Linked DNA regions of Daphnia pulex. The protein of the gene in region 1 interacts with the protein of each later gene in a pairwise test. Links are inferred from orthologs where the notes say so. Each region holds a gene or a part of one and is shown on either strand. Other genes may lie near its edges.

Evidence for each region.
Region 2: the proteins of protein stoned-B-like (region 1) and synaptotagmin 1-like interact in binary tests that used the Drosophila melanogaster proteins (3 or more experiments, as listed by UniProt). The link is inferred for Daphnia pulex from reciprocal best matches to the Drosophila melanogaster genes stnB and Syt1.

What each region holds. Positions count from the first base shown.
Region 1 is NC_060020.1:4,185,735-4,189,653, reverse strand, and holds the start of protein stoned-B-like, read left to right. Parts: upstream 1-1,457; coding exon 1,458-3,048; intron 3,049-3,120; coding exon 3,121-3,313; intron 3,314-3,375; coding exon 3,376-3,539; intron 3,540-3,605; coding exon 3,606-3,795; intron 3,796-3,867; coding exon 3,868-3,919. Other genes in the region: protein stoned-A-like, read left to right, coding at 1-1,420. UniProt on the Drosophila melanogaster protein: Adapter protein involved in endocytic recycling of synaptic vesicles membranes.
Region 2 is NC_060019.1:9,141,162-9,145,080, forward strand, and holds the start of synaptotagmin 1-like, read right to left. Parts: upstream 2,457-3,919; 5' UTR 2,345-2,456; intron 2,189-2,344; 5' UTR 1,570-2,188; intron 1,505-1,569; 5' UTR 574-1,504; intron 195-573; exon of another isoform or gene 1-194. Other genes in the region: BTB/POZ domain-containing protein KCTD20-like, read right to left, coding at 3,117-3,455, 3,536-3,783, 3,860-3,919. UniProt on the Drosophila melanogaster protein: May have a regulatory role in the membrane interactions during trafficking of synaptic vesicles at the active zone of the synapse. It binds acidic phospholipids with a specificity that requires the presence of both an acidic head group and a diacyl backbone.

The DNA.
Region 1 (3,919 bases):
AGATAAATTTAGAGATTTGAACGAGGAAGAAGCTGGAACTGATCAAGCCGCTGCCACCCATCAGCAAGTCGAAGAGGTTGCCGAGCAACAGCCGGAGGAATTCAATCAAGATTTCGAAAAGCAAGACGAAAACGAAGACGACGAGGACATTTTCAACACTGAATACGTTGATATCGCCACTAGTGGCGAATTGAAACTTGCCTACGTTCCCGACAGCCCAACACTTGAGGCTGCTGCCGGCGACGATCCTTTTGACACGTCAGACGTCGAGAAACTTGTCGGGCCACTTCCCGTGATTAAAAAGAAAAAAGCGCTAGTTAGTATCGGCGCTGCTGTGGAGATTCTGACTGCAGCCAACGCTGCCGATCATCAACAGAAACAACATCACCAAGGGTCTACAGCCAGCCGACAACGAATCGTTCAACCGCCCTCCGAGATTCAGTTGCTGTGCTGTTTCGACGACAACGAGGTCGATCAAAAGCTGCAAGGCAATTCGTTGGGAGTGACGCCTTCGACCAACCACTCAGCCGGACCCAGTAGTGTGCAACAGACACCACATAGTGAAGTCCATCTCGGGGAAGAATTGGTCTCCAGTGTCGAACCTGACTTGAAAGATATCCTCGCCGAGTTTGACGTCATTCCAGAGGGCAGCGATCAGCCAATCGACGAAGATTTTGTGAAGCCTCCCAAGCCAAATCCACCCGTGCAACCTAAGAAGCAGCCAGAACTTCTCGACGAGGAGGATTTCGAGTTCGAAGCTCTCGCTTACCAGTCGTTGGCCAAACAACCACTTCCGCAGGAAGACGAAGAAGAGGGAGACGATCCATTCGACACTAGTTCTGTCGACAAAGTTTTAAAGAAAGATCAAGTCGAAACTAGTATTGTTTCCAAGAAAGCTCCTCCTTCCCGGCCTGGCGCTCCACCCTCTCGGCCTCCGCCACCTCCTTCCGCCTCAGCAATCGCAGCTATTGCAGCTAAAATCGATCGACCATCTCCCGCTCCGGTTCGCCCGTCAGCTCCAGTCAATCCGACAGTCCCACCTCTTCAAGCTCAAGACTCGTTTGACGCTCTCTTTCTCAACGACAGTCCACCCGAAAAGGAGAAGCCAACAGAGAACAAGTCTGAACGGGAACCTTTAAAGTCTCCAGCTGCTGACCCATTCGACACCTCTGCCGTCGATCCTTTTGACACATCATCCATCGATCCGTTCGACACCTCCGCAATCGATCCATTTGACACTTCGGTAGTTAATTCCGTCAATACCTCTGCCACTGGTAATACTTGTATTACCGTTTCGTCACCTGTGCTTCCGGTTGAACCTCAGTTGCAGGTGACATCGTTTGTTTTACTTGACGACTCGCCAGTTGAGGACGAAGTTGATCCTTTTGACACTTCGGCAGTTGAAAAAATTCTCAACTAAATTTTCCGCTTTTCACTTGCTCTAAATTCAATTAAAAATGGCAGCTAATCCGTTTATGATGGATGACATCAATCCAGTTCTGGGATCTGGGACCATAAATCCTTTCGCTATATCAACGACAACACCAGCACCTTCTGCAGTGTCGAATCCATTTTTTGACATTGCTCCGGCGAGTGTGAGCGCCGTCAGCAATCCATTCTTGATGGATGATGTTCCACAACAGTCGAGCGCCAATGCAGTCTACAATCCTTTTGCATCATCCACCATGGAGTCGGATCCAGTATCGGTCAACGAACATGTCGACAGTCTTGCTTGGCTGAGCTCCGGCGGGGCCATGCAAATGCAAGATAACATGGCCAGCCCATACGATCTTCCCGACGCTTCGTCTGTGCCACAACATCATCAGCTAATGGACGATCTGTTGGAGGTTGACGTTCCGCTACCAGAAGAATTGGCCGCTGACATATTGGAAGTCGCCACTCCGTCGCCAATGGCCTCTCCAATACCGGAAAGCCTCAGCAATGCCAAACCTGGCAGGCCGGCTCCACCACCTAGACCCCCGTCAAGACCGTCGCCCCCGCACGAAACTCAACAGCTGATTCTATCCGTTACGGGAGCCATGCAGGCCACTTCCGAACACTTGCTGGACCGTTTGAGAGCTACAGCTCCCAGTCCAGTTCCAGGATACCACCCACACATGCATTCACACTCGCCGTCTCCTTCACCATCGCCGTGTCCGAGTCCTACTCAACATGCCGAAGTAGACCTGCTCCACGATGATCATTTAGGTGATCACTTAGGGGATCATTTAGGGGATCATTTAGGGGAACATCCAACTGGTCCTCCGCCACGCCCCACATCGAGACCCTCTTCTCCAGCTGTCCCTCAAAGACCTCAACAACTTCCAGCTAGGCCAACACCACCCGGGCCACCTCCAAGACCGGTAGCTCCAACGACGGCCTCGTCGGTACAACCACAACCTCCACCAGCCGATAAAGGTTTTGCCAGCATTTTTGGTGAGCCGTCTCCAACATCTGAATTGGAGGCTTTAGCATTCTCATCAGCTCCAGCCAATACGCAACCAGTGGTGGAGGCTGCTCCAGCCGAAGAAATTGATTTGTTGGGGCTTCCAAAGCCCAGGACCCGCACAAATAATGATATTTTAAAGTTATTCGAAAAGAAAGAAGAGCAGAACAAAGATTTGCTGGCGGGCGATGTCTTTGAAAATACGTTTCTCGTGGATCTGGACCAGCAAGCTCCACCCTGCCCGATAGCTCCGGAAACATCTTTCGTCTTAGCCCCATCTACGCTTCAGTCGTCTCTCTTCGAACAGGAAGCATTGGTAGTAGCTCAACCGACTGTCGAAGTGGCCCAAACTGTCGAAGAAGAATCGTTGACTATGAACTATCAACAGCCACAGGAAACTCCGACGCTAGTGTATCCAGAGATAAAAAGCCCTTTGCAATCAGAGCCGATTGCTATTCCCAGTCGGGGCGATAACGATCAACCTGAGGAGTTTGACGCTTTTTCTTCTCGTTTTGAAAGCGTTGGAAGAGAGGACATGTTGATGGTTGAAAATGATCCGTTCGACCCGTTTTCAGCTGGAGGCAGCGCCAAGGGTAGTTCCGGTAAGTTATATTTAAAATCCGTCAATTTGTCGTGGATAAATGTTTTAAAAAATAATCATATTTGTGGTTTAGTATGGGGAACTGCCACTGGAACACCCGAATCAAGCAGCTTATTAGGCTTTGGAGCGAGCGAAGGTTTCGATCCGTTTTTGGCTCTAACCGAGCCTCCACCACCTCCGCATGGAAGCCCACGTTTCCCGTCATCTCATCGTCAACTCTCACACGATTCCGACGAAGAACAACCGGAATTTGCTCTCTCGATCAAGTACGCGATTTAAGTTGTATACCGCATATTACTCGATTAACAGTTTGATGGCATTATTAAAGGCCTCGTAGCGAGGGATTTTCGGACGGTAAAATAGGATTAGCACTTGCCCCTGCTTTGGCACCGCCACCCAGAATTCCGATTCACACAACCAGCAGTGACGAGTATTCTCCTCCCAAAAGCCTGAATCCATTTTTGGTTCCGGAACAGGTGTCTGTGGTAGCACGTAAGTTTATTTTCATTCCCTAGCTTCTCGAACGGTTTCTGACTATTCATTTCTTCGTTTCAATAGACGAACCGTATATTCCTCCAGAGAGGAAGTCGACGGTAGTACGCAGGGATTCAGAGGACTCGCCTATGACACCTCTCTTCGACGAAGATCAGTCGGTTCCTTTAGAAGTATTCCCGCGCGTGGAATACACCGGTCAAATTTGGGAGATGCAGTTGCGGCAACCCAACAAAAAGAAGATTACTAGCCAGAGGTAAATAACGTGATTTTCATTGTTTTGTTCAATTTTATAAGCAATGAAATCAACTCTTGGACATCACCACAGATTCTGGAAGAAAGTGTTTGTCAAATTGGGAGTCCACAACGATCTCCCTGTG
Region 2 (3,919 bases), on another chromosome or scaffold:
CTCAAACAAAAAAAGACCAAAGAAAAGATTCAATGGCGACCCGTTCACTTTGCCGCTGCCACTGGTTCTGTGCCGCGGACGGCAAGCAAATCAATACTAGCTGGCCAAGACTAGCCCAGTCACACTGTATTCCTCCTCCCTCCTTCTCAACTGTGCGTGCGTGAATGCGTGCGCCCCGGGATCTGCGCGCGGGACTGCCACGGTTCTCTATGTATTATTTGTTCATACACATGAGGCGTCGTCGTCGTTCCCCCCCTTTTTCTTCCCTTCTTGATTTCGGGATACCCAGCAACGACGAAGAAATTTCCAGATTGATTTTTCGTTTTCGCCTACACATTTCTTCTCCCGTTCTTCCTTCAGGGCTGTCCCGTCCGCCATTCTGTCCAAACGAGAACCTCACGCTAATCGATCGGGATCACGTACAGAGAGAGATACACACTCTGTGTGTGTGTGTGGGTATATGTACATAAATGGCGGACGACAGCGAAAATATTCCACGATTCTTGATCCAATTTTGTGAACGAGAAGGTTACGTGTTTTACAATTGAAAATTGACAAAATAATTCAACTTACCCCCGAAAACATGAACGACGCTTTCTGCAGGTCGTCCCGATATTCCTCCGGCTGCAAATTGAGAAAAAAGATCTGTTGGCATCCAACGGCGTGCAGCCCGTATGAAATCAACCCGCTTCGTTCCAATGGCCCACTTTGCACTCTGTAATTATAACGCCGATTGGTCCTTCGTGTACCAATTTGTTTTCTCTCACCCCCCACTCGACACACACACACACACACAGACACCGCGTCGTCGTCTACCCTCACGTTCGTGAAATGAAGAGATTATCAGCCGAATGTGGGACTCACTCTCTTGACGAGTTGGACGATCCGGTCAAGGCTATACCCACGGTAATTCTAAATGACTAAATCAAATGACGCCGGGAGCCAGACGACGACAACGACGCTCAAAGGTTCGATAATCAGATTTGGGGGAATGAAATATGTTATGACGCTGCGTTTCAAAGATGGCGGCCGTGAGAAAGTGGGCAAAGATAATAGAAGACTTAGGAAAGCAGACTGCGCAAGAGTCACGGCCAAAAGGACGGCAAACTTTGCAGAGAGAGAGAGAAAGTTCTCTTTATTGATCGACGCCTACTTGGTGTGCCGGGATGCGCGGTCCCGCAACGAAACGAAAGCCGTGGGGAGGGACCCTTTTGTGTTTGCCGGGTTGCAGAGGATGAGAGAGAGATGTTTGTCTATTGGATCGATGCGTGCAAACGTCCAGCTCCAGTTCCGCGCTTCCATTCAAGTTTTTCTTTTACCCCTTTCTCTCTCTCTCTCCGCATCCGGAACCACTCATTATGCCATCCCTTTCTTTTCGCGTTGTTGTCGTGATTTCTCTTTTGGGTGCACATTTCCATTTCCTTCATCTTCTTTTCTTGCTGATTTTCAAATGGCGATCAAACGATTCCACCCCAGAAATTTCACGAAAGGTTTCTATCTCCAACTGCCAAAAATGAAAAAAAATGAGAAATGAATGAGCTGCTTTATGTGCAAATAAATATCCATCACTATTGATTGGCTGCTGCGGGGAAAATCCGGGCCGTCAATATCCCCCTAAGCTGGAAAGAAGCACGCCAAGGTTGCAAAGGGATGGAAGAAAAAAAAAGTTGCCATTTTCTGTTTTATAAAAATAAAGATTCCCCTAACGGGAATCCCTCGAGGTATGCCACCGTCCATAACGTAAAAGACCTTTGATCCTAAATTTTTACCTCAGCTCGGTTTCATGGGGAAATGAATTGAGAGGGGGGAAATTTGGAGTGGTGTGAAGCCGGACATGTTCGAATCGCATTCCAGTGTACATCAGATCACTCAGCCGACACATACACCCACTTTAGACGATTCGGCTCGCACGTCATCTACAATCCGATAAAAAGAAAAAAAAAGGAAATAAAATAAAAAAATAAGAAGGAAACCAAGAATTGATGAGTCTCGCTCTGTTGTGAGTGCTGTTAGCAACGTGCATTAGCCCCGGCACGTCCTTGTGATCGATTCTTTTTTCCCATCCGATGAGTTCGCCTGGCTGCTTCTTTGTCTGTTTGTGACCGATGCGCCGATGTCGTCGTCGTCGCTCGGTTACTTTTTCTTTAGATTTATTCTTCCTTTTGATTCGACACTAAGCCAACAACATCTACATCAGAAAGTCAAGGAATAATAAATATTAAGCCGATATGACTGACGTCAAGTATACGAGCAAAGGGACAAGGAAATCCTTTCATCTTCCGTCCCCATAGACACAAAATTGGAAAAAAAAAATCCTCACGTTATTAAAGAATTATAACCGTACTTGAAAAATGATGATTGGTGCGGGCGGCCAAAAGAGGAGAGGACACAACGAAAAGGACAAGGTCAGAACCAACCTGAAACATGAAATCAAGTTGCCGGTTTCGCTGGTCTCGTTTAGCTCATAAATGATGAAGGTCGATGCTGAAAATAAAATGAAAAAAAAGGGAGAAATTATAACTGTAAAATCTTTTAAAAATTTCGCCTTTCCTGTTTGACATGTCTGCAGTATATTGAATGTTACAAATACACACACAACAAACCGGCACGCAGGGGAAGAGAAGGACTGTGAAAGTGTAATAAATTGGGGCTTTTTTTTTTCTTTTTCAAAAGTGTGCTTGGTGTTGCTAATGCAAATCTGACAGTGGCAAGGAATAAATACACCTGAGGGCCACAATAAAGACGAGTTAGCAAAAAGGTTTAAGAAGAGAATTTTACAATGAACGACACCTGGATTATTTCTGAAAGAAAAATATCAATTCAATTGAAAAAAAAAAAAAAATGGGGAAAGAGGAAAAACCTTCTGGAAATATCCGACTGAATAGAGGCGTTAATCTATTCCACCGATGGCCATCACGAGCAAATGCGCGATATTTAAGAAACAAAAAACGAATATTTTTAGGCAGATACGTGTGAAAGTGTATGTGTGTGTTTTGGTGGACGTCACAGACTACCGTAGCGTATCCATGGAGGAGGCCTATAAAAGCAAGAGCGAGCTTAATTGAAAAGGAGCTTTTGCTGCTTCAAAATTGGCGATAAAGCTGTTCCGTCTCTTTTCAAGGATCGTCGCCCTGTCCTGAAATTGGACCCTGTGGATAGGTCTCGTTAAGCGACATGGACTGCAGAGGACGGACCATGTTCAAATCGATGCCACCGACGGCCCCTTCTTCGAATTCCAGTCCCGCCTCAATAGCCTCAACGTCAATTATCGGAGGGCCGTTGTGGTGGAGTCCAGTCTCGACGATGTGGCCTACCAGCACAGGCCCCAAGGGACCCTCCGTCGTAGGAGCGTGCCCCAAGGGTAAAGGAAAAGGCAGCAGTGGATTGCCAGCCGCATCCAAAGCAGGATCGGCAGCTGCTTCCGCGAGATTGGTCACTGATTTTGATTTGACGCACTGCAATTAACAAGGAGGCCAGGATATACCAGAAAATCCAATCAGCCGAAATTGGCTCCATAAATTGCACGAGATTGTACCTGAAAATCAACATGTCGACTCTTGGCTTCTTCTTTCTCCCAGGACATGTGAATGAAAGGCCGCTGGACGTAATTGTAAATAACTTCGGCGCGCCCTCCTGGTCGCTTGCGCACTTTTTCCTTATAAGTCGGATAACCTTCGATTCCCAGACGTATCTTTTTAAGGCCCCGCTCTTTCAACACTTGCTTGGCCACGTCACGGTTCTCAATGTACTTGAAAAATCGATACATGGAGGTGCTGAAGACGGCTGCAAGACAAAACGGGAAATATTACGTTACGGCCATTCTTTAGAGGAAAAGGTGTTGAATTTCCAAGGATCTTACTTTGAGCATATTCTTCTCCCATTTGCGGTGGATATTCTTCATCCCAGTCAACCACATCGT